7 linked regions of the Macaca fascicularis genome follow. The protein of the gene in region 2 purifies or fractionates together with the protein of the main gene of each other region. This does not show direct contact. Links are inferred from orthologs where the notes say so. Each region holds a gene or a part of one and is shown on either strand. Other genes may lie near its edges. The genes, in order: TRIB3, COP1, CUL4A, ETS2, RBX1, ETV5 and MVP.

Region 1 (3,943 bases), on a different chromosome or scaffold from region 2:
CTACGTCGCCCAGGCTGTTCTTAAACTCCTGGCCTCAAGCAATCCTCCCGTCTTGGCCTCTCAAAGTGCTAGGATTACAGACATGAGCCAGCTCGCCCAGCTGAGGAGTTATATTTTGACACTAGTGAATTCAGATCAAAAGGGATTTCTAAGAAAGGTGCTGGACCCCTGGGACGCAGAGGGATGTTTCACCCCAAAGGAAGTAGCACCAAGCCCTCCCAGGCCTAGGGTGCAAGCATATTAAAGGCCTCTTTCCCTCTCTGTCTCCATTGTCTACACTCCATTGAGCATCCGCAATGTGCCACACACTGTTCTAAGCGTCTTACACATATTACATTATTTAATCCTCACAATAACTTTATGAAGTGAGCACAATTATGAGCCCATTTTATTGAAAAGGAAATTGAGGCAGGGTTTTAGGTAGCTTTTCTGGGGTAGCACTGTGGGTTGGAGGGGAAGGTGGAGTGCACTCTTAGGCCAGCTGGCTCTAGGGGCTCTTCGCCACTAGGCCGCACTGCCTCTAGCAAAGGAACGCGGGGAAGTTCACCAGACCTTAGGCCTCCCCAGGGTGCCACAGTGGTTCTTTTGAGCCCAGAGTCAGCTCTTAGGTCCATAGGCCTTCCTGAAGCTTCTGGACCACTTGCCCACAGCTGGGCCTCAGGCTGGCTCTCAGTAGAAGGGGGAGAATGGAGATTGCCAGATGTCCACTTCTCCTAAAGGTTTTATAAGGCGGTGCTGGTAATGTGCTTTACAAAAGGGGAAGCACCCGGACAACAGTCACTGTTTGCTCTTTTGAGCACCATCCCGAGAAGGAGGAATGTTCTTCCCATTTCATAGGTGGGGAAAGTAAGGCTCAGAAAAGCAAATGTTTTTTTCCAAGGTGATAGGGAGAGTCCGTGGCTGGTGTCTGCACTGAGACCAGACAACCCTAGTGGGCCAACAAGGGCGGGGTCCCCAGGTGCAGCGGAGGAGAGAGGCCCTGGCGGAGCGCGCCCTGGCGGCGACCCGGTGAGGCGGGGCGCGGGGATGGTGCAATCCTGGGCCTGAGGGCATCAGACGGCGGCTGATTAGCTCAGGTTTACATCACCCAGGCTGGGAGCCGGGAGCGCACGAGACTCGCAGCGGAAGTGGGGGCGGCTCCGCACACGTCCGCTGTTAGGACCCGGGCCGGGCTGGAGCTGGACCGGGATCCCGAGCTCGGCAGCAGCGAAGCGGGCCGGCCCACCTGCTGGTACCCTAGAGGCTCTGAGCACCGGCGGCGCCAGGACCCACGCGGGACGGCAGGACAAGGTACTCGGCGGGGTGCGGACTGTGGACTTGCCCGGAGCCTGGGGGATTGGAGCGGGCGGCCGGGGAAGGGGCGCCGGGAGGCTCTGCGCCTCTGCGTGTTGCTGCGTGTTACGCGCGCACACACACAACACCCCTTTTAACAGACTCTGCCGTCGGGGGACACCCTGGGCCTAGTGCTCCCCCCGGGCTTCAGGTGACGCGGCCCCGCAGGGCGTGGGGTCGCCCGAGTTTGGCTGGGGAAGCCAGGGACGGAGGTGTCCGGCTGTCATCCCTAGAGGAGGGTGTGCGAGGGTCTGTTTTGCGTGAGTGTGGGACAGGGGAGTCGTGTGGTGAGGTGAGGGGCTTGTGGGGGGCACTGGAGGACTCTTTATGGGGGTGTCGGAGGATCTGCGGGGGATCTGCGGGGGTCCTCGGGAACCCGTAGGAGAGAGTTCTGGGTGAGGGTGGGTCCCGGGGACCTGTGCCTCCGGGGATGGTGAGAACTGTCTGGAGGGCTGGGCACTTGGTGGCAGGGGTTGGAGGTGCAGAGGACACGGCCGGGAGAGGGCTGGGTGGGGTGCCCTGGGAGCGAACTGAGCGAGTGGTGCGGGAGCCGAACGAGTGGGAGCGAAGTCGCAGCGCGGGATCCCCGGCCGGGCAGCGCCGCTGGTTCTTCCCGCTGCGTGGCTCCGGGTTTGCAGGTGGAAGGTGCGCGTGTGTTTGCGGTGTGTGCTGTGCCTGCAGACCGGGGAGGGCGGGGGACGACAGCCACCTCTTTCCCTCTGCCTCACCCCCTCCTGTCCCAGGGCCGCCCTTCAATTTCCGCTGAAACTTCTGACTGGGACACCGCCGCCTTTCGCTTTCGCTCCCGCTGAAGGGGCCTGGCTGCGGGGGGCGGGGCGGGGGGTGGTGGGGCCGGCCTTGCTTGTGTAGACCATGGGTGTGATAGCTGGGAGGGCTGTGTGTGTGTGTGTGCGCGCTAACGCTTACCCGTGGAGGGCAAGGGTGTGTCACTTAATGTCTGTCTTCCCTGGATGTGTTGTCGCTGGCTGGCTTAGACAGTGTCTCAGGGGTGTGTGTACACCTGTGAGCGCGCGCACGCTTGATGTAACCCGCCCTCATTTCCCTGGGTCTCGAGTATGGCAGGAAACAGCAAGAGGTAGATATTAGGGGCTGCTTTCATTCCACAGCACAGATTCTATTCTGCAGTGTGGTCTGCAAAATGCCTTGCCCAAGATTTATAGACTCAGTTACCCCATCTGTCCCCATCTGGGTGGAGCTTATCCCAGGCCCCAACAGGCTCTGAGGGATGACTGGGGCCAAGGCAGCCTGGAGTACTGATGTGGCACAGGCCAGAGGGACTCCAGGCAGTCTCCTGCTGCACAGGGCACAAAGCATGTGCACGGCCAGGTAGCATCCTGCGGGACTCAGAACAGCCTTGAGACTGTTCTGTCATCCCAGCCTCGAACCTGGGGAGCTTTCTAAGACTCCCAAGGATGGTACTTAAGCATCTTGCTGTGAAGAACAACAGGATGAGTGCTAATAGTGACCATTTCCTGACACCTACCCTGCAACAGGTCTATAAGCTCTACGTGCTTCATTTGTTTTTTCATTTCATCATCACTAAAAACCTGTAAACTTTGCATCCTGTTCCCACTTTACAGGAACTGAGGCTCAGAAAGCTTGAGGAACTTGACCAGGGGTACCCCCCAGCTAGAAAGGGTCTGAGACAGGATTAGAACCCAGGAATATCTGACTAAGCCACTCCTTACTGCGTTCTTACCAAGCCAAAGTCATGACCTTTCACTCATGTGGGGAGACCTTCCCTTCCAAGGCAGCTCTTCCGTTTAGGAGCCGCGTACTTGGAGAGGTGGGCCTCTGTCTGGTAACTGACTCATGTTTCCCTGTTCATCCTGCCTTGAACTGTTGGGAAGGTCTTTCACCAGGCTGAGGTCCCTCTCGCACCAGTGCTCAGACCTGGGCATGCACATCCTTGGAATGGAGTTTAAGTGGGTGGGCAGATGGGTTCTAGAGAGAACCTTCCTGCCCTGACATGCCCTACTGCCCTCTCCTTCAGCCACCCCACACACAGTCACACAGCTGCGTGGATGGTGGCTTTCTTTTCATTTAACAGTTCACTCTGGAGATCCTTTCGATTAGGCTATAAACAGCGTCCTCAACCTTTTAAATGGCTGCAAATTTTTCCGTTGTGTGGATGAAGTATAATTTATGTAACCAGCCCTGTAATTATAGACAGCAAATTATTTCTGTCACAAGGGCTGCAGGATAACTTTGTATTTGCATGCTTACACAAGCACACTTCTACAGGATACATTCTAGCAATGGGATTAATTGCTGAATCAAAACTCACACACTTCATTTTTTTTGTTTGTTTGTCTTTTTGAGACATTCTCACTTTGTCACCCAGGCTAGAGTGCCTAACCATGGCTCACTGAAGTCTTTACCTTCTGGGGTCAAGTGATTCCCCTACTTCAACTTCCTGCATGGCTGGGACCACAGGTGTGTGCCATTATGACCAGATAATTTTTTTTTTCTTAGGGACAGAGTCTCGCTATGTTGCCTAGGCTGGTCTTGAACTCCTGGGCTCAAGTGATCTTCCTGCCTCAGCCTCCCAAAGTGCTGGGATTACAGGCATGAAGCACTGCACCCAGCC
Region 2 (3,500 bases):
GTTCCAGATATTTGCTTTGGCAGTCTCATACACATGTGGAGAAAGTCAACTTTGCTGAATAAAGGCCAAGTCATTTAAAAGTATGATCAAAGCTCATATATTCAGGCATTAGATATATCAGAGCATTTGAATAATATCAAATTTGATTTTTCTATTTCTTATTTAAATTTGTATAAATTATCAACAATAAAAGTCCTAGAATAACAGATCAATACTATGCAAATAGATTACTTCATGGAGAGAACAGCAGGTAAGGGAAAATGAATATCAAGCTTAAGAAGACATATAATGTCTCCAAAATTGGAAATATTACTAACAGAACTTAACCTTTTCTGTCTCCCACGCAGTATCTAAAGAATTACGTTATAATGGAGAACAACTACAAAACAGTTAAAAATCAGGTGTTCAGGTATTTGAGGTGTTCAGGGTTTGTACACAATAAAAAAGGGAAGGACTAATGCTCTTCTAGTACAACACAAGGAAAATCAATAATGCTGGGGCATCATGTCTATTATACTATCTTCTGAGTGCACACACCATTTCCTGACTTAATATTTAGTCTATTTCCATTGAGTTCAATTTCAATAACAAATACCTGTTAAAAAGTTCCTGGAAACGATGGTTTTACTTACCACAAGCTATATAATCTCCATTGGAAGCCAGGCCTACAAAGTTTTTTTCATTGATATGACCCTTGAAAGAACGTAGGCAGTACGGTTTTCCTACATTCCACAGTTTTAGCTGACTGTCTGTAGAGCTGAGGAAAAGTATAAAGAGTAAGAATGTATTTAAAATTTCTTGACACGAAACTCATCACTACTAATTAGAGGCAATGCAGTTTGCTGGTTAAGAATGCAGTCTCTGGAGCCAGACTGAGTTAGAATGTTCATCTGTCAGCCAGGCGTGGTGGCTCACGCTTGTATTCCCAGCACTTTGGTAGGCCGAGGCAGGTAGATCACTTGAGGTCAGGAGTTCAAGACCAGCCTGGCCAACATGGCGAAACTGTTTCTACTCAAAATACAAAAATTAGCCAGGAGTGGTAGCATGTGCCTGTAGTCCCAGCTACTTGGGAGGCTGAGGCAGGAGAATCACCTGAACCTGGGAGGCAGAGGCTGCAGTGAGCTGAGATCACGCCACTGCACTCCAGCCTGGGTGACAGAGCGAGACTCTGTGCCAAAAAAAAAAAAAAAGTTTTCTTTTCAACATATTTAAAATCACCATGAAATCACAGAGAAATGAACATGTCAGTGTAAAAGCCAACCAAGTAATATTTAAAACCAAAAATAATTCTACCACTATACTGCAACTAGATAAAATATACAATAACACATTAGTTGACTTTAATAAATAAAATACTTCTCATTATATTGCATCGACTATGTTGTTTATCTCTTCTTAAGAAACAATAGCTAAAATCCAATCTGAAGTTCAAATGCAATTAAACATAGGAGGATGAGTTAAGGGGGGAGCATATATTAAAAAACCAGTATCTTCAGGATTGTATCCACAATTTACATATAGTAGAGCACAATACAGACCAGAATCCACACTATTTTAATTGGACAAGATAAAAAAAATACTATTTAAGAAAAAGCACATATACTCCAACATTACAGTTTACATACATCTTCAGTGACATTACAAACTGGTAGGTGTTTAAGTACAGAGCTCTGTATTAAGCTTGACCTCTGAGGGGAGTAATACTCACGCAGAGACAATTTCCTCACCACTCACAAACTTGGCGTAAGAGACTGCTTTACGGTGTCCTTTGAATACCATGATTGGCTGTTTAGTGTTACGAAGATCATAGTAGTGGACACAGTGATCTAAACCAAAACAAAATTAGATAAATGTAGTAAACGCAGAAATGGAAAGCAAAGTTAATTTAAACTGGTTTTTGTTTTTTCATTAAAAGTTTCACATAGAATGTCTAATCTCTAACAGCCAGAAAACAAAGAAAAAGGAATTCTTTTCAAAAATAAGACTGGCTCTAGAAAGAGAGTATTAAGAGGTCAAAATAATTGGAAACTTAAAAATCAATCTATGTTTTAGTGGCGTCATTAAAAAATGTTAATATAAACATTATGGGACATCTGGATAAACATAATGCTATATAATCTTATTTCCCACATTTGCTTTAAAAAATTAGACATATTTTATATACAATACACACGCTCAAAGTATTGCATGCAATTCAATGATCTTTACTACATTTAACCAGCAGTTCAACCATTACCATAAATCAGTTTTATAATATTTCTGCACTCCAATAAGATCACTCATTTGGCATCCACCATCATAGGCAATCTCTATTCCTGTCTGTCTCTATCACTAATTTCTATGATAATCTTTATTATTTCCTTCCTTCTGCTTGTCTTCAGTTAGCTTTGTTACTCTTCTTAAAGACAGACACTTAAGGATACACAATTCTCTACAAACATTGCTTTGGCTGACACCACAAATTGTGATACGATGTGTTTCCATTTTCATTCAGTTTAAAATCCTTTTACATTTCCTTTGTTATTTCTTCTTTGACTAATGAGATATTTAGTAATGTGTCATGTAATTTCCAAATACTTGCAGATGTCTCAAAGCAACTATTGTTGATTTTTAATTTAATTCCATTTTGGTCAGAAAACTGTTTTGTACGTCTTCAATCATTTTATTGACAGAAAACTGTTTTGTATGTCTTCACTTTAAATTTATTGACTTTTTTTCAGTCTTAAATATGGTCTCACCTGGAGACTGTTTAAAGCTTGCTTGAGAAGAATGTGTGTTCTTCTACTGTTGGATGAAGTGATCTTTGGATGTTTGTTATGTCAGGTTGACAATGTTATTCAAGACTTCTATAACTTTGCTGATTTTCTGTCCAGTTTTTCTATGAAATATCGAAAGTGGAGTATTTTTCAACAACTTCAGTCAAATTATCTACTTTTCCCTTAAATACTGTAGATTTTCTTTTCATGTATCTACAAAAAGTTTGTTTTTAGGTGTGTTGATAATTGATGTATGTTTTCACTATTCATCCTTTTACCATTATAAAATGTCTTTGTTTCTAGTACCGGTTTCTACTCTAAGTATTTTCTGTTTGACCTAAATACTGCCATTCTACCATTTTTGTTGATTACTACTTACATGGTGTATCTTTTTTCATCCTGTTACTTTAACCTACGTGTGTCTGTGAATCTAAAGTCTATCTCTTGTAGATAGCATAAAGTTGGATTCTAATTTTTTTGTAAACCCATTCTGCCAATCCCTGAATGTTACAATGTTCAACATACTTACATTCAATATATTAAAAGGTTGCACATCTGAAATCCAAAAATCCCAAATCCTTGCTTTTGGAGCGGCAACATGACAATCAAAGTTCCAAATGCTTCATTGGAGCATTTCGGATTTTGGATTTGAGATGCTGAACAGCAAGTACAATAATGCATACTTAACAATGGAGATACACTCTGAGAAACGTATCGTTCAGCAATTTTGTCATTGTGTGAGCA
Region 3 (3,500 bases), on a different chromosome or scaffold from region 2:
AGTTCTGCACATTGTATCATTTTCATCTCCCTTCCTGTTTTCTCTGCTGAGTCCTACCAAGTCCTGTTCTGCACATCTGTACATTTTATCATTCCCTACTGGGGCCCAGTTCTGCACACTGTATCATTTTCTTTTTCTTTTTTTTGAGATGGAGTCTCCCTCTGCTACCCAGGCTGGAGTGCAGTGGCGCGATCTTGGCTCACTGCAAGCTCCGCCTCCCGGATTCACGCCATTCTCCTGCCTCAGCCTCCCGTGTAGCTGGGACTACAGGCCCCCGCCACCATGCCCGGCTAATTTTTTGTATTTTTACTAGAGATGGGGTTTCACTGGGTTAGCCAGGATGATCTCGATCTCCTGACCTCGTGATCCACCCACCTCAGCCTCCCAAAGTGCTGGGATTACAGGTGTGAGCCACCACACCCGGCTGCACACTGTATCATTTTCACTTCTCTCCCTTGCTGTCCCCTCTGCCCCTGTTCTTGCCTCCCATCACACGGACATTCTGTGCCTGACACGCACACTCACATAATCTCAACCTTTTTGTTTCCCTAGCTACTCATCAACCTCAGGTTTGCAGGAAAAAAACATTAGAAGAAAAGAGAAAATTGTGTGACAGCACCATAAATAAAATTAAAGCGATATAAAATGAGTGCACAATCAAAATAGCCTAATATTCAGTGATACTCCGTTAACATAAATAGCCCATCTCAAAACTCAAAGATGCCAAGTATCTCAGCAAGATTTACTCCCTTTAGACAATAACTTATGACAAGGCACTAGATAAAAACTGTAATTTGTAAATGCCAAATAAGGACAAATGACAAAGTAAAATATGCTAGGTGCAAAAATACTCTTAGTGCTGAATGAAATGACAGAGACACCCTTTACTTCAATAACCAGCCAGGAGAACCCTCCAGCCGTGGTGAGGACATGAACGCTCGGTGAGCGATCGGTACTTACTGTGTGCCGTGGTCCAAGTAAGTGATCACTCTGTCTCCTTCTTCCTCTAAACGTTTACTTACATGGTTAAGATATTCTGGAACCTTCCAAACAAAACAAACGTATCAGTAACAAAAAGACTGTCAACATTATCCAAGAGATTGAAATTTTATTTTCCTTATATGCAATTTTTAAGAAAAGCAGAATATGTATTCAAGCCAAATATTAACACAGATTAACAGGGAGGGAGAGGTAGGATGCAAGTGTGTTGGGGGGACATGGAGAAAGGATCGAGATTAACATCCATCCTAGAACAGGGCCCAGGCTGCACTTCTCTTTCGTCCCTGCTCACCACTAAGTTTTGGGGTCTGTGCACACCCTCTCCCATCCCCAGGGCCCACAGGGAGCTGAGCAGCACTTGGTAGGAGGGTGAGGTGCTAAATGGCAACCCTGCCCCGCACAGATGGGTCAGCAAAAGCAAGTCAACAAGCTGGCTGTTCATCTGGGGACACCAAACAACATGGTGGCAGGAGACCTCAAAGTACACCTATGTTTCCCAAGACAGTGCAGGAAAGGCCTGAGGCTCTGCCGGGGTAGCTGCAGCCGGGCTCAGTATCTGACATGAAACTTCCTCTCCAAAGCCAGAATGAAGGAACCAATGGCCAGGGTCAATTCTGGGCAGCAGCACGTGCCATTTGGGTGACAGTCTATGGGGCAGGTTCCTTTATGATTTTGCTCTGGTATCTGGAAAAGTGGTTAAGTTTTTTTGGGTTCCTATTACTACTATATGTTTTTTCACATGGCTTTTTTTGGGAAAATTTTTTGCAGTGCTTCACACAAATAAAAAATTTTATCATTTGTATTTATTTTTCATTTTTAAGGTGTATGTTTTTATCATTTTGCTTAAATTTGAGTTATTTTACTTATTTCAGAAACGATCTGACAGATTTTTACTTGTGGGGGGAGGGCAATAGTTTCTAAGTTAACATAAACTAAATTCTTAGTATACTAAGAATGAAGTTCATTACTGGGGATTCTGGCAAGACTGCAGCTTTCAGAAGATTTTCAATGAAACATCTGTGTGTGTGTGAAAAGGCAAACACGAGGAAAGTCCTCCCAGATGCTCATCTGCAGAAACGAAGCCAGGGGATTCGGAAGCATCCGATCATCTCACCTCTCTTTCCTGCATTAACCTTTGGCCTTCGGCAGCATATAAGCAGTTAGTCTCTTCCAAAAATTTCAGTTCAAATGAATCTTTATACACCTAAGAAATGAGCAGAGTTATTGACCAATTTCAGTAAAGGAAACTACCTTTTCAAGGGCTAACAAATCCCAGTTTCTGACGGGGCAGGCTGCCATGACCTGAACTTGGAGCTGCCTGTGGCCACCCAGCCGGCCAGCTGCACTGTCCTTCCCAAAACGGCCAGGCAGACCCTCTTCTGTTCTTTTCCTACGGTGCCTTGGGGTCACATTGCACTAAAGAACTTCACCCTTTGTCTTTTGTGTGTGTTGCTAACATTCTCCCCGAGTATGTCATCTGGTTTTGTCTGTTTGTGGTATATTTTCCATGAAAAAGGCGCATTTTACATAGTGATATTGATCCATCTTCCCTTTTGTGGCACCTGGTGTGGTGTTGGCTTGAGAGCCATTCCCCTCCTAGGGATTTTAAAGACTCTTCTATCTTCAACAAACACTTTTATGATTTCATTGTTTAACATCTTTGGTACAACCATTTATTCTGGTGCAAGTAGCTGGGCAGGTACCCGGGTATCTTCTGCACAGGCAGCACTCACCTGCAGGTCGGACAGCATGCCCAGCAGGCTCCGCAGCAGGCTCCGGTCCACGGCCTCGCCGCTCCTCTCGTGCTCGATCAGCAGCAGGATTCCATCAATAGTTTTACTTTGAACCATTTTATCACTAATAATATGGGTTCTAAACAGTTCTAATCCCATATCCCTGTACAGACAGTAAGAAACAATACATTTTAGTTTCGCTTTTTAGAAGTTATGGGTGTTATCTCCAGCTATGCTACTCAATATCATCCAAAAAATGTGAAGTAGCTAATTCTCTACATCTAGGTGCCAACAATTTCTTTTTAAAAACTTCTGTTTTTCGGCCAGTCTAGTGTGCCTTGTCTGCTCCATGTCCCTGGAGATATTGCTAGGCCAAGCATGCCACTGACAACAAAATTGGTATCACATAATCTGCTGGCAGAAGCCCGGGGTTCTTGCCACCTTCCTGGTGAGTGACTGGAGATGCTCAGTCGGGTACCACGACCCTGCCTGCCCCACCTGCCCTGCCTGCCACCATCTGCAACAGCCCTCAGGGTACACTCTCTTCCCAATATCCTCTGCGGAGCACATCCCAGCAGCTTCCCTTCTCCAAGCCCTGGGAGCTCTCCTACCAAATGTTTGCTGCTTTCCCAAGAAGAGAAGGTGACACACGGCTTTCAGAGTTCATCGCAGTCCTCAGCTCACGGCCTGAGGAATGTTACGAAGATGTTTCAGCTGCCAGTGACTGTCCACAAAACCCATGTTGGGGGTTCCGTGCTTTGCTTCAAC
Region 4 (3,500 bases), on a different chromosome or scaffold from region 2:
TCGAAGGAAGGAACCCGTTGCACATCCAGCAAGGACGACTGGCTGTTCCAGGACTGGAGGAGGGAATCTGAGCTCTCGAAGCTGTCTGCACCGTTCTCAGGGGAGTCATGGTCTTTGGGCGTCCCTGGCAAAGACAACCAAGCACATACTTTGATTCCTCTAGGGCATGGTTGGTCTTGGGCACGACCACAGCATCACCAACCACTACCAGTGCAATCATGCACCTGCTGGTGTAGAACCACTCAGACTTCTCAAAATGCTCTCTACTCAGGTGCCTATTCCTTAGGGTAACTATGCTACACAAATCCTATCTTCCATCAACAGTAGAATGAATAAAATTCTTATAATGGAATACTATACAGCGATGAAAAAGAACACATAGCTGCTACATCCAACAACATGCATGAATCCCAGGCCTCATGATGAGTAAAAGACAAACACAAAAGAAAACATACCGCATGATTCCATCTATGTAAAGTTCAAGAAAATCAAAACCTAATCCATGATGATAAAAGTCAGAATGGTTCCCTTCTGTGGGGGGATGATATTGATGGGAAGGGGTACGAAGGAACCGTCCAGGTTACTGGAAACTTCTCTATCTCCATCTGGATGGTTGTTACATAGGTATACATACGTACACAAATTCAACCAGCCATATGACCTGAGATTTGTGCACTGTATTTATGTTACATCTCCATAAAAAGAAATGCCACATTCCCGCATCACCACCATAAATATCCTGAAGCGTGGAGAAATCTGGCTGTGAGAGCAGGGATTGTGTTTTGTTTACTCAATGCCTGCAGTACCTGGGCCAGCACCTGAAACATATTAGGGGTATGCTTGTTGGAAATCCACTTAGAACATGGGCTTTGACCTCCTTCTGTAATGGCTGAACTCAGGAAGTATTTATTAAGAGGTTCATGATGGCTCTGGGGTTCTCAGAATCAAACCAACAGCCTTGTTGAAAGATGCTTCCAATCTTACCAGAATTGTTGGTGAGCAAATTCAAGTTGCTGCCTGGGAAGTCCTGACTGACAGAGCAGTAGGTGACGCTGACGGAGCTGAGCCGAGACTTGGGGAACATCTGAAACTCCTGCTCAGAGCTGAGTACGCTGGGTGTGGAGGCTGGACACATGCTGTCCAGGAGGCCGCCTTTGGGGTAATTCTGTGTCTGCATTCCGTAGGGCGTCTGCTCCGTGCCAAAACCTGGGACAGAACAATCGGACGACAGAGCTCTTAAAGTCAGTATTACCACAGTAACTAACCCCTCAGAGCCAATGACAGGTGAGCACTCCGCACACTCCAGCCCTCTGCAGAACCTCAGTGGACACCCGGGCTTTGGTGGGGGTCTGTCACCAAGCCTTCTTCTCAAACCTTTCATCTTCTCAACCAGCAGCCCTTTGCCAAAATGACTGCAGCCTTTGTAGGCAGGACTCAATGTCCCTATTTCTAGCGCTTTCATGGGACCCTCAGGAGGACAGGGCTCACTGGCTCTTGCAGCTTCCAAGGAGAGTAAGGCTCAGAGAGACGAGGTGATGTGTCATGCACTGTGTGATGCATAAGGAGCAGAGCCAGGCCACGAACCCTGTGTGCTGAGGCACAGCCCACTCTGCTGTCTGCTCCTTCATCACACTGCTCCTGTCTCTGTTCTTTGCAGAATCATTTATTTTCTGGAGAGGGAAGGAAGCTCTCTGACTCTGATTCAGACTCAGGCAGGCACAGGGTGTCTCACTGTACCACGTTCAGAAAGACCCCCGGAGCAGGAAGCCCCCAGTGGGGCAGAGAGGTGGGCTTCACTGGGTCCGAATGGTGGAGCTGGGGCCAGAGAGAAAACACTGGGCCGGACCAACACCACCCAAGCCTGCTGTTCCAAGGAACCCTCCCACGCTGGCCTGGCCAGACCATGTGTCCTCCCCAGAACCAGCAATCGGAAGCAAGGACCTAGATTCCATGACAGCTCTTTAAGCTCCCAAGTTCAAAGCCAGTTTACAAATTGCTTCCCACACACTCTGTGCCCGCCACCTCTTGTTTGCTACACTAGACCAACAGGTGGTGACTGCGGTAACCAGCTCACTTCGTTCTGCTCCTTGCTCTAAGAATTGCCTGGACTAGTACTAACAGTGCTGACCTATGGAAGATCGTGTGAGCCACTTAAGCAATTGTGAATGTTCTAGTGGCCATATTAAAAAAGCAAAAAGAAACAGGTGAAGTTAATTTTCTTATTTTACTTGGCCTCATGTAGCAATTATCATTTCAATATGTAATCAATACGTTAAAAATTATCAGGGAGACATTTTATATTCTCTGTTTCATACTAAGACTTCCAAATCTGGCGTGCATGACTATACTCTTCCTACACATCTCAATGTGGACCAGTCACATTTCAACAGCTTATGGCTCAACCACCCACGTGTGGCCACCATGAGAGACACACACAGGTCTAGGTGGCCCCTTAGGAGCCTACAACAGAGAGTCCAAGTCTACTGGGGAGACTGAAGACCAAGTTCTTAAGGGCAGAATCAGTCGGACTGACCTATTGTATTGCTGTTAATCCAATGAGGAACGGAGGTGAGGTGTGAATTTTCTTCATATTGATCTTCTGTCTTTTCTTGGTTTTCTGAAAAGCAGACACAGGAGACATAAGATGGCAGATGTAGGTGAAAACTACACAAGAACAAATTGACTTTCTGAATTCCTGTGAGACGATAATTTTAGAATGATGACATGCATGGAGTGCTTCACATTTAATCTCATGGTGCTCCACGTCCTGCCTGTCTTTTTCAAAACACGAGAGAAAGCAACCCATTTTTCTAATTACTAAAATACATTTTCCAAAATGAATGATGTCATTGGCAACATTAAATTTTCTATTGCAAAAGGTCCAGATGGTGTATTGAATTCATTCATGCATTCAAGAAACATTTAAGTATTTATGAAATGCCATCTGTACCAGAGGCTGCATACAGGAAATTAATAAAATGGATGGTGTCTGCCCCCGTGAAGCTTACAGTCCCATTGCTTCCAAACCTGCACGCTTCCCCAGGGTGTAGGAGGTCTCCAGGGCTGTGGGAGTCTGGGATGGCTAAGACAACTGCCCAAGAACTTTGAAAGGGAAAAGGTTTGTGCACTGTGTATACACACTTAATACGAATATATTACAAAGTATACGTGCACCTGGAAACTCAAACACACACAAACTCACAGGCCCGAGGAATGGCAAAACAGGCCCAATTTGCCAATGAACAGATCACCAGAAACTTGGTAGAAAAGCCCTGTCCAAGTTCAGAAAAAATGAGAGTCTTTAAAAATGAGTTTCCCTGGCCCTCAGAAGCCGTAACTAAAAAAAGTTAGCTGTTGAATCCTAGGTGGTTTTGAGATTCTGAGTCTATAGTTGATGCTAAAATTCAGTGTGTTTAAAATCAGTCAGGTGAGGACTAGTTCCCTGAATTCTATAAAAGTGCTTTCTTTTCCTTCCTTCCTCCCTCCCTTCCTCCCTCCCT
Region 5 (4,123 bases), on a different chromosome or scaffold from region 2:
GCATGCACCACCACGCCCGGCTAATTTCTGCATTTTTAATAGAGTATTTTTGCATTTTTAATAGAGTCGGGGTTTCACCATGTTGCCCGCCTTGGCCTCCCAAAGTGCTGGGATTACAAGCATGAGCCACCACGCCTCGCCTCAGATAGAATATTTTAGCTCAAAGTTTATTTTCCTCCTTTCAGTATTTCTACCTTTGAGTCTAGGTACAAGATGGGAGATATGCAGGAAGAATCAACAGTGCCTGTTGTCCACAATTAATTCTAAATGTGTCCCTGCCATCTTTAGATTGAGTAGATTTATTCTGAAAGCTGGGTATGCCTCCAGGACATCATAAAAAAACTACTCTATTTCAAACACACCAAAAGACTAGATACAGAAGACCGAGTGCTCAGAGTAGGCTTGATATCTGCTTGTGAAGAAGAAAATCGGTCACATCAAGATAGCCACAAGCTCTGCAACCTTCTCAACTTCCTCCCATCCTCCTCCAATTACTTACAAAGATCCATAATGTGGTTCCTGCAGATGGCACAGTTATCAACCACAATATCCCAGGCCCAGAGGGCTACTGCATTCCACTGCAAAGACAAAAAGAGGGAACAATGCATTCTCCTTATAACACACACACAGTTTTTAGGACTTCAGGCTGCAGTTGTAGTTATGATCTCTGGCCACAGGGAACCACCAAACAAAAGTTTTTGGATATTATGTTAATCTTATTATACCAAAGACAACAGTAGACAACACATACATTCTCCTATTCTCCAAAAGACTGAGTATATGAACACATAAATTAATGTCATCTTTTAATTTGTTTCCTGTAGTTTAAAACAATTTAGTCTGGCCGGACGCAGTGGCTCACGCCCATAATCCTAGCACTTTGGAAGGCTGAGGCGGGTGGATCACCTGAAGTCAGGAGTTCGAGACCAGCCTGGCCAATATGGCGAAACCCCGTCTTTACTACAAATACAAAAATTAGCCAGGCTTGGTGGCGGGTGTCTATAATGCCAGCTATTTGGGAAGCTAAGGCAGGAGAATCGCTTGAATCTGGGGGACAGAGGTTGCAGTGAGCCGAGATCGTGCCACTGCACTCCAGCCTGGGCGATGGAGTGAGACTCCATCTAAAAAAAAAAAAAAAAAAAAAGCACAAACTTGAATTTCTGTGCAGGTTTTGGTGGCAGTTGCAGAAGCGCTCAAAATCTGAATAAGTATCTGCTCTTCCAGGCAGCTTTGGAAGCATGAGCAATGAAGTGAAAGCTAGGGAACAGAATGAACTAAGATGATGACTGGATCATAAAACGGGTAATCGTGGGATAAGCTGGATAATTAACTGCCCATGTCAGTACACAGAACAAGGTCATCACTTAAATCTTAGATTACTTCATAACAAATTCTACAATTCACTAGAATTTTGTTCGATTCTTACCATAAAATAAACTGATGTTCTGAACTTTTATATGTTTAGACTCTTCTATTAAGATAATAATTCCAGTAAGAGTTTAACTAAAAGTGGCATTTCATTCATTCAACTCTGGTTTCCTCAATTACAAGTACTCCCAAACCTTCATCGCTTTCAAACCCCAGTCTCAGTGCCTAGTAACTTCTTCACCACTTTTCACATCACAGCTTCAACTTGGAGGAAAAGCCCCTACTTCTATTATTCTTCAATATGGCTGGCTGTAACTGAGCAGCAGTGGCCACAATGAGACACCAAAAAGCACTAGGAGGGGGGGATATTGTCAGTGTTTAGCCAGATGTTCCAGGAATATCTTCCCTATTTCAGAATCTCCATTTCGAATAGTTTTCATGTTAGGTGGGAATCGACACTTTTCTCCCAAACTGTGGCAAACCACTAAAATGCATTTCATGCAAAAGACACGTTCCATTTTTGCTTTCCCCTCTTACCAAGTCATTCGCAACTACTACTCAACCCTCCCGAAATGCCACAGGATTTGGGCTCGGATTTTCTTAACAAGTTCCACCGTGCTTTTTATTATTATTTCGGAAGGGGGAGATTCTGAACGTGACAGAGAATCCAAGAGTGGGGTGGTTGTGGGAAAAGCCAACAGACGTCTCAGAACACCCAAGCATTACACTCCAGACTCTAACTCGGCGGTGTGAGGCCCAGAGATGGGGTTAATGGAGGCCTCGGTTCAGCGAGGAACAAGTCTGATCCCTTCAAGTGAGAGGACCCCAAGCAAGCTTCAAAAAGGGGCGGAGCAAGATCACTAGCGGGGCTCCTCAGAGGCCTCCAATGCGGTAGGACCTCAGGTTCCAGGCTTTCGCCGCACTGCCCCATCCTCCACCGCCGCAGTCGCTCTGACTCCCCATTCCACCCACCCCACCCCACCCCACCCCACCCCACCCCACCCCACCCTACCTTCCCCCACCTCTCAACCACTCCAGTGACAGCTCAGGCGCTTGGCTCCCGCCGCCAAGTCGCAACCCCGCGTATCTCAACAAGCAGCTCTGTGATTGGCCCCTCAGCCTCACATCGAAACCAACACTTCCCCTGACAGTGGGCCGCCGTCACGCCGATCAACTCTAAGGCCCGCCCCCCGACTTCCTTTCGTGGTACCCGGTCCCAGGAACGCCCTAAAATGAAACCCTTTACTCCGCGCCTCGACCATCCTCGGGCCTGCCAGCCAGATCCGCGCCTCTCTAGCTTCCCTGAGGAAGGCGCTGGCGAGACCCAACCTTTTTCACTTCAAAGCGCTTCTTGCCCGCGCCGCTGTTGGTGCCGCTCGGGGTATCCACATCCATCGCTGCCGCCATTTTGGAAACACACGGTCTGTCGTCCGACCACCGCGCCTGCGCAGCAGCGCACACCTCGTTCCCCCAGCCTCCCCGGCACCTCCTCCCGCACCCCACCCCTTACTGGCGCGCGTGGGGGAGGTGGGGGCGGAGCACGTGACCACGCCTCTTAAAGGGGCTATCGCAGGTCGCCCCACCCGCGAAGTGTCGGCCGGGGAGGGGGCGGTGGCCGGAGTGGGTGGGGCGGGGCCGGGCGGGGCCGAGGCTACGTGAGCTAGCCTGGTAGAAACGTTCGAAAGGGCTCGAGGTCGCCGCCTCCTCTGGGAAGCCCCCGGCCGCACTCCATCAGCTGGGGCGGCGGCTGCTTCCTCCGCCTGAGTCGGACCTGCGCCGCAGTCCTGTCCTGCCTACCGGGCTCGCCCGGTCGCCGCGCGACTCCCATTGCTAGCCGGGGTGGGCGCCCGCCGCCTGCCCCGAAACCTGAGAGCCCTCGCTGGTCTTTCGCAGACTCTGACCCACCTCCGAGCCAGGCCCAAGGCGCAGTCCGCGTGGGAGGGCTGGGGCCCAGGCACCGTCTGGTCTCCGATTTCTGTTCGGGAACTGCTCAGGGATCGATGGGGAGAGAGGAGAGCCCCGAAGGTCCTCCCTAAGGCCAGACTGAGCAGGCCCCCAGTGCTGCCCTCATCCCCCCGCCAAGCCTGGAGGGTGGCCTCTGCGCCCGCTTAGTCGCAGTCCTAGGACCGCCTTTGGTCGTGGTGCGCGGTTTCACCGTGGCGTGTGTCAGTCCCCACTCCTCATTCCTCAGTTGTCATCTTGTGTAGGGTGATTTCTCCCCAGTCTGTGTCCTCTTTCCGCTACTTGTGCTATAGTGAAACCGACCCATCTGCAGTCGCTGTATTTCTTTAATTTTTGTGAAGCATTCTGACTTTTTGGGGTGTTTTTCTGAGACGGAGTTTCGCTCTTGCTGCCCAGGCTGGAGTGCACTGGCGCGATTTCGGCTCACTGCAACCTCCACCTCCCGGGTCCAAGCGATTCTCCTGCCTCAGCCTCCCTAGTAGCTGGGATTACAGGTGTCCGCCACCACGCCCGGCTCTTTTGTATTTTTAGTAGAAACGGGTTTTTACCATGTTGGCCAGGCCGGTCTCGAACTCCTGACCTCAGGTGATCCGCCTGCCTCGGCCTCCCAAAGTGCTGGAATTACAGGCTAGAGCCGATTTTTTTTTGTTTTAAATAGAGACAAGGTCTCACTCTGTTTCCCAGGCTGGTCTCGAACTCCTCGGCTCAAGCGATCCTCCCACTTCGACCTCCCAAAGTGCTAGGATCACAGGAGTGCGCCACCGCGCCCGACCCAAGCACCTGTACTTTGTGT
Region 6 (3,500 bases), on a different chromosome or scaffold from region 2:
ACGCCACTGCACTCCAGTCTGGGTGACAGAGCGAGACTACGTCTCAAAAAAGCAAGCTCCTCCAAGAAACTGACATTCTAGCTCCATTCTGACTACTTCCTTGAAGCCATATGCTATGGAACACTTATGCATCTTATTTGTTCCCAATTACTTTCACCTAATTGGTAGGTCAGCACTAATAAAGGCAAAGTCACAGGCTCAACCTTGCCCACTGCTCCTGCTCCTCATTAGGTGAGATTATCTCAGAGACTTACTGAATTGAGTTGGTCCCAAAGGGATTGGGCACAAGAACTTGAGCAGATAACATATACCGTTGATATAAAATGATCATCTTCACATAAAAGTAAATGTTAGGATATGTGTCAAGGTTGGTGAAGAATACCTTCAATTTCCCCCCCATGTTAAAAGTGGCAACCATTTATCATATAATAATAATTACAATGAAGAGTTACCCACCCCGAGCACTCAAACTAAGTAAAAAACCTAGAGACACATTTTTAAAACTCTAAGACATCCTTGGACCCTCACTGACATAACTATAAAATGTATAAAAACCACTCTCACTGACATAACTCCTAAATTCCAGTTTAAGCTGATATTGTTATATAAACATAACCTTCATTTCTGGAATTGTGGAAATACGGTGGGTTTGTTTTTTCTCCAAATTGTCCTATCCTCTTAAAAAGTTGGGGTCATTGCTAATGAAAATGGCAGCCCTCACAGGGCTCAGGGGCATGCCTTAAACCCTGCCTGCAAAATAATTGAAGATTGCAACCAATTAGCTCTTATATTCATGAGCTAAGCAAGGTTTAATCTATGATCTCAAATCTTAGCCTGGAAACTGAGCAATTTTAAGCTTGAGTATTATTCAAGGAAAGAAAGAAAGAGGAAGGAAGGAAGGTAGGAGAAAGAAAGAGAAAAAGAAAGGAAGAAAGGAGAGGAGAGGAAAGAAAGCAGGCTCCTTACCTTCATGGCTGCTGGAGAAATAACCCCCTCTCATGTAGGATGACTGACAGTTAGGCACTTCTGAAAGGAAAGCAAAGGTGGACACAATCCTGTCAATAGTTTCTGCAGCAGACACAGCACATCGGTCAACTGCAGCTCTGTGGTAAAGCCCCTAAACGCTCTGGGGTCATGTCTTTTTGGCTTTGTCCTGGGAAAGAGGTGCCACACCACTAAGCAAGATGGCAAACACCACAACCCACCATCTGAAAGGCAGGCTCTCCTACTCAAGAGTCACGGGAGGAAAGAAAAAGATGTTTCACTCTCGTTGTTCACTCATTTTAGCAATTAGTTAACACCAAATCTGGTGAAAGAGCCAATGATAGTGGAAAAAATATTAGCTTTCAAAAGGCCAAGCCTGGCCTCTTGCCCCATGCTGACTCCTGGGTGTTAGGGTGGGAAGGGGAATATGACTGCTTCAGATCTTTCCCAATTTGCTCCCCTTTACTCCTCGTGGTCACATCCAATTCTGCTCCAAGAGGTGGGAGTATTTTTAGGCCAAAGGGATTAGCAGACCTGAAGTTAGGACGCCAGGACCAGCATTGGAAGGGGGGTACAGGATTGCAGTTTGGTCCATTTTTGCCATGCTGGGACTGTCACACTGAAACCAAACCACACTCAAGTGACCTCTTCTTCAAGCATCATGTTATCAGTGTTTCCCATAACCAATTGGTGCCTGAATAGATCAATCTACGTATTATCTCAGAGAAGGTCAAGAGCAAATTCCATCCAAAACTGAACCCCAACACTCTTCAAGCTTGGACTCAGAGATGTACTTCATACCACTTCTGAATGCCTACTGCACTTCCTACCACTTACATACCTTTTCCGTTTTGTTTTGTATTCCGTTGTGCATAAACACGTCAGCTCTACTAGCTCCTAAGTTATTTGAGGGCAATTCTTATAAAAATTACAAAAAATTCTTATAAAAATTCCTGTCCCCAAGGCCCTGCATGTATAAGACACTGAATAACGAGACAGAAGAAAGCAAGAATGAAGCAACGAATAGCACAATTTGATGCTGACCTGAATCGACGCAGTAATCCCGAGGCTCCTGCTTGATTCCCATTGGTGACTGGAACCCGTGTGCTGGGGGCCCTGGCATGGCTGGGACCCCATGTTCATAGAGTGGGTCATGGTATTCTTGTTTGAATCCCTGAGGGGGCGGGGGAGCTGCAGGGACAATAGGCTCTGACATTTGCCGATGGTAACTGGGGCGATTATCTCCAGGAACTCCTGGCTGAGGAGGGAAGGGGTGGCAGGGTTCAGACAGTTGTCTCTGAAATCTGTAAGAAGAAAGAGGTTTTCGTGGTGAACAAAGACTTGATGAATACCTACTATGATTGAGCACTGGGGACTAGAAGAAGTTCCAATTAATGAAATTATTTGCAAGATATTTAATAATGCTTATTTCTGGACATTTTTACCTTCTTCCCAAAATTACATTGTGTATTTCGAAGCTCTTGAGTCAGGAAGTGGCAAAAAAAAAAAAAAAAAAAAAAAAAAAAATCAAAGCAATGATGTGGTAGCCTCTTTTTCTTTCATGTATGTATACTGTATGCACAGTCTATCTGTAAAGATGGGCCAGATTATGTATATGAATATATGAGACCAATTATTTGCAAATAGCACTAACATATACATAAATATTTGTTCACTAGTTCATCCATTCTCTCACCTACAGATAGAAGGAATTTTTAAAGACTGAATACAAACTAATCAGTTAGAAAATGTAGTTAAAAAGGAGAGAATCCCATTCACAGTAGCAATAAAAAACATAACATTCCTAGGAATAATCAGGAAACGTATAGGCCATATAAGAATAAAATCTTAAAATTGTTCTCTGAGGAAAAGAAAGAAAAAAGATCTAAGAGAAGATATTTAGGACTTTGAAGCTATTGATTCACTGAAAATTAATCTGTAAAAGCAAATGCCTTCGCAACTAACTTGACCAAATGATTCTAAACTTTATTTTGAAAGGACAAAAGGACCCACTAGCTATTGACATATGTCATAAAACTACACTAATTAAAACAGTAATACAAGGAATTGAGAGATAGGCAGATCAAAGGAATTTAGTGGCAAGCCAAAAACCGTCAAGTATATTTCAAAATTTACTACTTGTTAAGGTTAGCATTTCAAGTTAGTTGGGGAAAAAGACCCCATTTTATACAGATACCAAAATAAATTTCACATGGATTAAAGGTTCCAATATAAAAAGTGAAACCAGGCCAGGAATTATGGCTCATGCCAGTAATCCCAGCACTTTGGGAGGCCGAGGTGGGCAGATTGCTTGAGGTCAGGAGTTCAAGACCAACCCGGCCAACATGACAAAACCCCATGTCTACTAAACTACAAAAAAAATTGGCCAGGCATGGTGGTGGCTCACGCCTGTAATCCCAGCAATTTGGGAGGCCAAGGTGGGCGGATCAGGAGGTCAAGAGATTGAGACCGTCCTGGCCAACACGGTGAAAACCGTCTCTACTAAAAATACAAAA
Region 7 (3,500 bases), on a different chromosome or scaffold from region 2:
AGCCTGGTGTGAGACCTTCTCTTCATCCTCCCCCTCCTCCAGGGGCTGCAGGGCCCTCAGCAGCAGCCCTTGCTGCTCCGACAGCACGTATACATCCTGGATGCCTTGTTCCAGCTGCTCTCCCGGCTGGAGGAAGAAAGACTTCTCTCCCTAGTGGGGAGACGTGCGGTTAGGGGCAGGGCCTTTAGGGTTGCGGGTGCCTCCGATGGCACCTCCCCAGCCCCGCGCTGTCTCAGGCCTGTGTGGAGGACAGGAGCCCCAGAAGCCCGCCACCACCCCCACATCATAATACAGTGAGGCACCGTCTGGACTGTGAGGCTCTACACAAACGTCTGCCGAATCTCATCTGCTCAAACGTGTCCTTGAAAGATTCCATAAACTGTCAGAACCTGGATCCACGCACGCTAAACCATTAAAAAAATCAACCTGTTTTTTCTTCTTTCTCCCAGGCTTTGTTTTCTAGAGATGGTGTAACCTAGGGCTCAACAAACTCTGGTTTTCAGGCCAAATCTGGATTCTGCCTTTTTTTTTTTTTTTTTTTTTTTTTGAGACAGTCTTGCTCTATTGGCCAGGCTGGAGTGCAGTGGCATGATCTCAGCTCTCTGCAGCCTCAACCTTCCAGGCTCGAGCAATCCTTCCAGCACAGCCTCCCAAAGAGCTGGGACTACAGATGCGCGTCACCACACCCAGCTAATTTTTGTGTGCTTCGTAGATGATGGGGTTTTGCCATGTTGCCTAGGCTGGTCTCAAAGTCCTGGACTCAAGCGATCTGCCCACCTCAACTTCCCGAAGTGCTGGGATTATAAACGTGGGCCATCATGCCCAGCACTGCCTGTTTTTTTTTTTTTTTTTTAATTTTATTGAGATATAATCCACATATGAAATTTTCCCACCTAGAGTATACAATTCACAATTCAGTTGTTTTAGTATACTCAGAGTTGTCCAACCATCACTACTATGTTAAGTCTAGAATATTTTCATCATCACCCTGAAAAGAAATCCTGTACCTAGAAGTTACTTCTACTCCCCACCCACCCCACCCATCACTAGTCTATTTTATGTGTTTACCTATTCTGGACATTTCATATAAATGGAATCATGCAATATGTCAATATGTGGTCTTTCATGTCTGGCTTTTTTTTTTTTTTTTTTTTTTGAGATGGAGTCTCGCTCAGCAGCCCAGGCTGGAGTGCAGTGGTGGGATCTTAGCTCACCGCAACAACTGTCTCCCGGGTTCAAGGGATCCTCCCGTCTCAGCCTCCCGAGCAGTAGCTGGGACTACAGGCACCCGCCATCATGCCCAGCTAATTTTTGTGTTTTAGCAGAGATGGTGTTTCACCATGTTGGCCAGGCTGGTCTTGAACTCCTGACCTCAGGTGATATGCCTGCCTCAGCCTCCTAAAGTGTTAGGATTACAGGCGTGAGCCACCGCATCCGGCCGGCTTCTTTCACTTAGCATAACGTTTTCAATTTTATCCATGTTGTATCACCTATAAGTATGTCATTTCTTTCTTTTCTTTTCTTTTTTCCTAGAGACAGGATCTCATTCTATTGCCTCAGGCTGAAGTACAGTGGCACAATCCTAGCTCACTATAGCCTCCACTTCCTGGGATCAAGCGATTTTCCCACTTTAGCCTCCCAAGTACCTGGGACTACAGGTGTGCCACCGTGCCTCGCCAATTTTTTAAAGTTTTTGTAAAAATGGGGTCTCACTATGTTACCCAGGCTGGTCTCGAACTCCTGGCTTCAAGCAATCCTCCCACTTTGGCCTCCCAAAGCACTGGGATTATAGTCACGAGCTGCTGCGCCTAGCCTGCCATTTCTTTCTTATGGCTGAATGATATTCCATTGTATGAATATGCTACAATTTTTTATCCATTCATTAAATATGTACATTTGGGTTATTTCTACTTTTTTTTTTTTTTTTTTTTGAGACAGTCTTTCTCTGTCACCCAGGCTGGAGGGCAGTGGTGCTATCTCAGCTCACTGCAACCTCCGCCTCCCGGGTTCAAGCGATTTTCCTGCCTCAGCCTCCAGAGAAGCTGGGTTTACAGGTGCCTGACACCATGCCCAGCTAATTGTTTTTTGTATTTTTAGTACAGAAGGGGTTTCGCCATGTTGGCCAGGATGGTTTCCAACTCCTGATCTCAAGTGATCCACCCGCATTGGGCTCACAAAGTGCTGGGATTACAGGTGTAAGCCACCGTGCCTGGCCTATTTCTACTTTTTCTGCCTCCTGTTTTTGCAAATAAAATATTCCAGAAACATGGCAGTACTCACTTGTTTACGTACTGCCCATGCTGCTTTCCTGACATAACAGCAGAGTTGAAGAACTTCCACAGAAACGATGACTCACAGAGCCCGGAATATCTACCATCCAGCCCCCTTTACAGAATGAGTTTGGCAACTCCTGGTATTCCCACATATAGTTCAGAGAGGGGATGAGGTAGGGGGTGGGAGAGGGTAAACCAAGAGGTTTGTTTTACGAAAGATGACAAAGCAAAGTGCACACCAGAATATAAAAGATGTGAAGTATAGTCACTGCGTGATGGTTCAGTCCACTACAGACTGCACATGGTGGTCCCGTAAGATTATAATGGAGCTCTTTTTTTTTTTGAGATAATCTCACTCTGTCGCCCAGGTTGGAGTGCAGTGGCACGATCTCGGCTCACTGCAGGCTTGATCTCCGGGGTTCAAGTGATTCTTGTGCCTCAGCCTCCCAAGTAACTGGAATTACAGGTACCCACAACCACACCTGGCTAATTTTTGTATTTTTAGTAGAAACAGGGTTTCCCCACGTTGACCAGGCTGGTCTTGAACTCTTGACCCCAAGTGATCCACGTGCCTTGGCCTCCCAAAGTGCTGGGATTACAGGCGTGAGCCACTTGCTGGCCGATAATGAAGCTTTCATACTGTGTTTTTCTTACCTTTTCTATGGCTAGCTACGTAAGTACTTACCATTGTGTTCAGCTGCCTGCAGTATTCAGGACAGTCACATGCTGCACAGGTTGGCAGCCTAGGAGCAGGCTACACCATCTAGCTTAGGTGATAGTAGGCTGTGCCATCTAGGTTTGCATAAGTGCACTCTTTTGCACAAAGACAAAATCATCTAAGGACCATTTCTCAGACTGTATCCCCACATTAAGTGGCACATGACTGTATCAGAGAGAGTTTCAGAGTCTCAGGCAGAGGGTAGCCAGGAGACCTTCCCAGAAGGGGAATTAACTTCAGGTCTGAGGGGTAAGTTAGAGGCTGCCAGGAACCAAATGGGCCAGTGTCTCAGGCGTGTAAGAACTAAGCGTGTAAAGGCACAGAAGGTATTCCCAGAACGTGCCTCTGGAGGAGAAGGGAGAGAGGGCAGAGGGCCTCCTGCCACTAGAGGGCATACATCTCCCAGGACAGTCCTCTGTGGGGGGTGTAGGGACCTCACCTTGACCACACGCTTCTGCCCCAGCTGATTCTTGCCATCCGGTCCGACAGGGTCGAGAATCACACAGTAG

Evidence for each region.
Region 1: the proteins of COP1 (region 2) and TRIB3 purify together in Homo sapiens (affinity purification with mass spectrometry; 5 studies listed by BioGRID and IntAct, counting the BioPlex papers as one, with this or other methods). This does not show direct contact. The link is inferred for Macaca fascicularis from reciprocal best matches to the Homo sapiens genes COP1 and TRIB3.
Region 3: the proteins of COP1 (region 2) and CUL4A purify together in Homo sapiens (affinity purification with western blotting; 9 studies listed by BioGRID and IntAct, with this or other methods). This does not show direct contact. The link is inferred for Macaca fascicularis from reciprocal best matches to the Homo sapiens genes COP1 and CUL4A.
Region 4: the proteins of COP1 (region 2) and ETS2 purify together in Homo sapiens (affinity purification with western blotting; 3 studies listed by BioGRID and IntAct, with this or other methods). This does not show direct contact. The link is inferred for Macaca fascicularis from reciprocal best matches to the Homo sapiens genes COP1 and ETS2.
Region 5: the proteins of COP1 (region 2) and RBX1 purify together in Homo sapiens (affinity purification with western blotting; 3 studies listed by BioGRID, with this or other methods). This does not show direct contact. The link is inferred for Macaca fascicularis from reciprocal best matches to the Homo sapiens genes COP1 and RBX1.
Region 6: the proteins of COP1 (region 2) and ETV5 purify together in Homo sapiens (affinity purification with mass spectrometry; 6 studies listed by BioGRID and IntAct, counting the BioPlex papers as one, with this or other methods). This does not show direct contact. The link is inferred for Macaca fascicularis from reciprocal best matches to the Homo sapiens genes COP1 and ETV5.
Region 7: the proteins of COP1 (region 2) and MVP purify together in Homo sapiens (affinity purification with mass spectrometry; 3 studies listed by BioGRID and IntAct, with this or other methods). This does not show direct contact. The link is inferred for Macaca fascicularis from reciprocal best matches to the Homo sapiens genes COP1 and MVP.

Annotation. Positions count from the first base shown.
Region 1 is NC_088384.1:87,031,323-87,035,265, reverse strand, and holds the start of TRIB3 (tribbles homolog 3), read left to right. Parts: upstream 1-1,143; 5' UTR 1,144-1,217; intron 1,218-1,257; 5' UTR 1,258-1,290; intron 1,291-3,943. UniProt on the Homo sapiens protein: Inactive protein kinase which acts as a regulator of the integrated stress response (ISR), a process for adaptation to various stress. Inhibits the transcriptional activity of DDIT3/CHOP and is involved in DDIT3/CHOP-dependent cell death during ER stress.
Region 2 is NC_088375.1:33,568,958-33,572,457, forward strand, and holds part of COP1 (E3 ubiquitin-protein ligase COP1), read right to left. Parts: intron 1,827-3,500; coding exon 1,709-1,826; intron 758-1,708; coding exon 633-757; intron 1-632. UniProt on the Homo sapiens protein: E3 ubiquitin-protein ligase that mediates ubiquitination and subsequent proteasomal degradation of target proteins.
Region 3 is NC_088391.1:103,648,873-103,652,372, reverse strand, and holds part of CUL4A (cullin-4A), read right to left. Parts: intron 2,896-3,500; coding exon 2,733-2,895; intron 2,204-2,732; coding exon 2,114-2,203; intron 1,046-2,113; exon of another isoform or gene 1,044-1,045; coding exon 961-1,043; intron 1-960. UniProt on the Homo sapiens protein: Core component of multiple cullin-RING-based E3 ubiquitin-protein ligase complexes which mediate the ubiquitination of target proteins. As a scaffold protein may contribute to catalysis through positioning of the substrate and the ubiquitin-conjugating enzyme.
Region 4 is NC_088377.1:8,175,763-8,179,262, forward strand, and holds part of ETS2 (protein C-ets-2), read right to left. Parts: intron 2,618-3,500; coding exon 2,534-2,617; intron 1,207-2,533; coding exon 985-1,206; intron 125-984; coding exon 1-124. UniProt on the Homo sapiens protein: Transcription factor activating transcription. Binds specifically the DNA GGAA/T core motif (Ets-binding site or EBS) in gene promoters and stimulates transcription.
Region 5 is NC_088384.1:10,679,339-10,683,461, forward strand, and holds the start of RBX1 (E3 ubiquitin-protein ligase RBX1), read right to left. Parts: upstream 2,801-4,123; 5' UTR 2,776-2,800; coding exon 2,698-2,775; intron 579-2,697; coding exon 500-578; intron 1-499. UniProt on the Homo sapiens protein: E3 ubiquitin ligase component of multiple cullin-RING-based E3 ubiquitin-protein ligase (CRLs) complexes which mediate the ubiquitination and subsequent proteasomal degradation of target proteins, including proteins involved in cell cycle progression, signal transduction, transcription and transcription-coupled nucleotide excision repair.
Region 6 is NC_088376.1:98,016,795-98,020,294, forward strand, and holds part of ETV5 (ETS translocation variant 5), read right to left. Parts: intron 2,289-3,500; coding exon 2,029-2,288; intron 1,027-2,028; coding exon 967-1,026; intron 1-966. UniProt on the Homo sapiens protein: Binds to DNA sequences containing the consensus nucleotide core sequence 5'-GGAA.-3'.
Region 7 is NC_088394.1:28,264,186-28,267,685, forward strand, and holds part of MVP (major vault protein), read right to left. Parts: coding exon 3,431-3,500; intron 151-3,430; coding exon 1-150. UniProt on the Homo sapiens protein: Required for normal vault structure. Vaults are multi-subunit structures that may act as scaffolds for proteins involved in signal transduction. Vaults may also play a role in nucleo-cytoplasmic transport.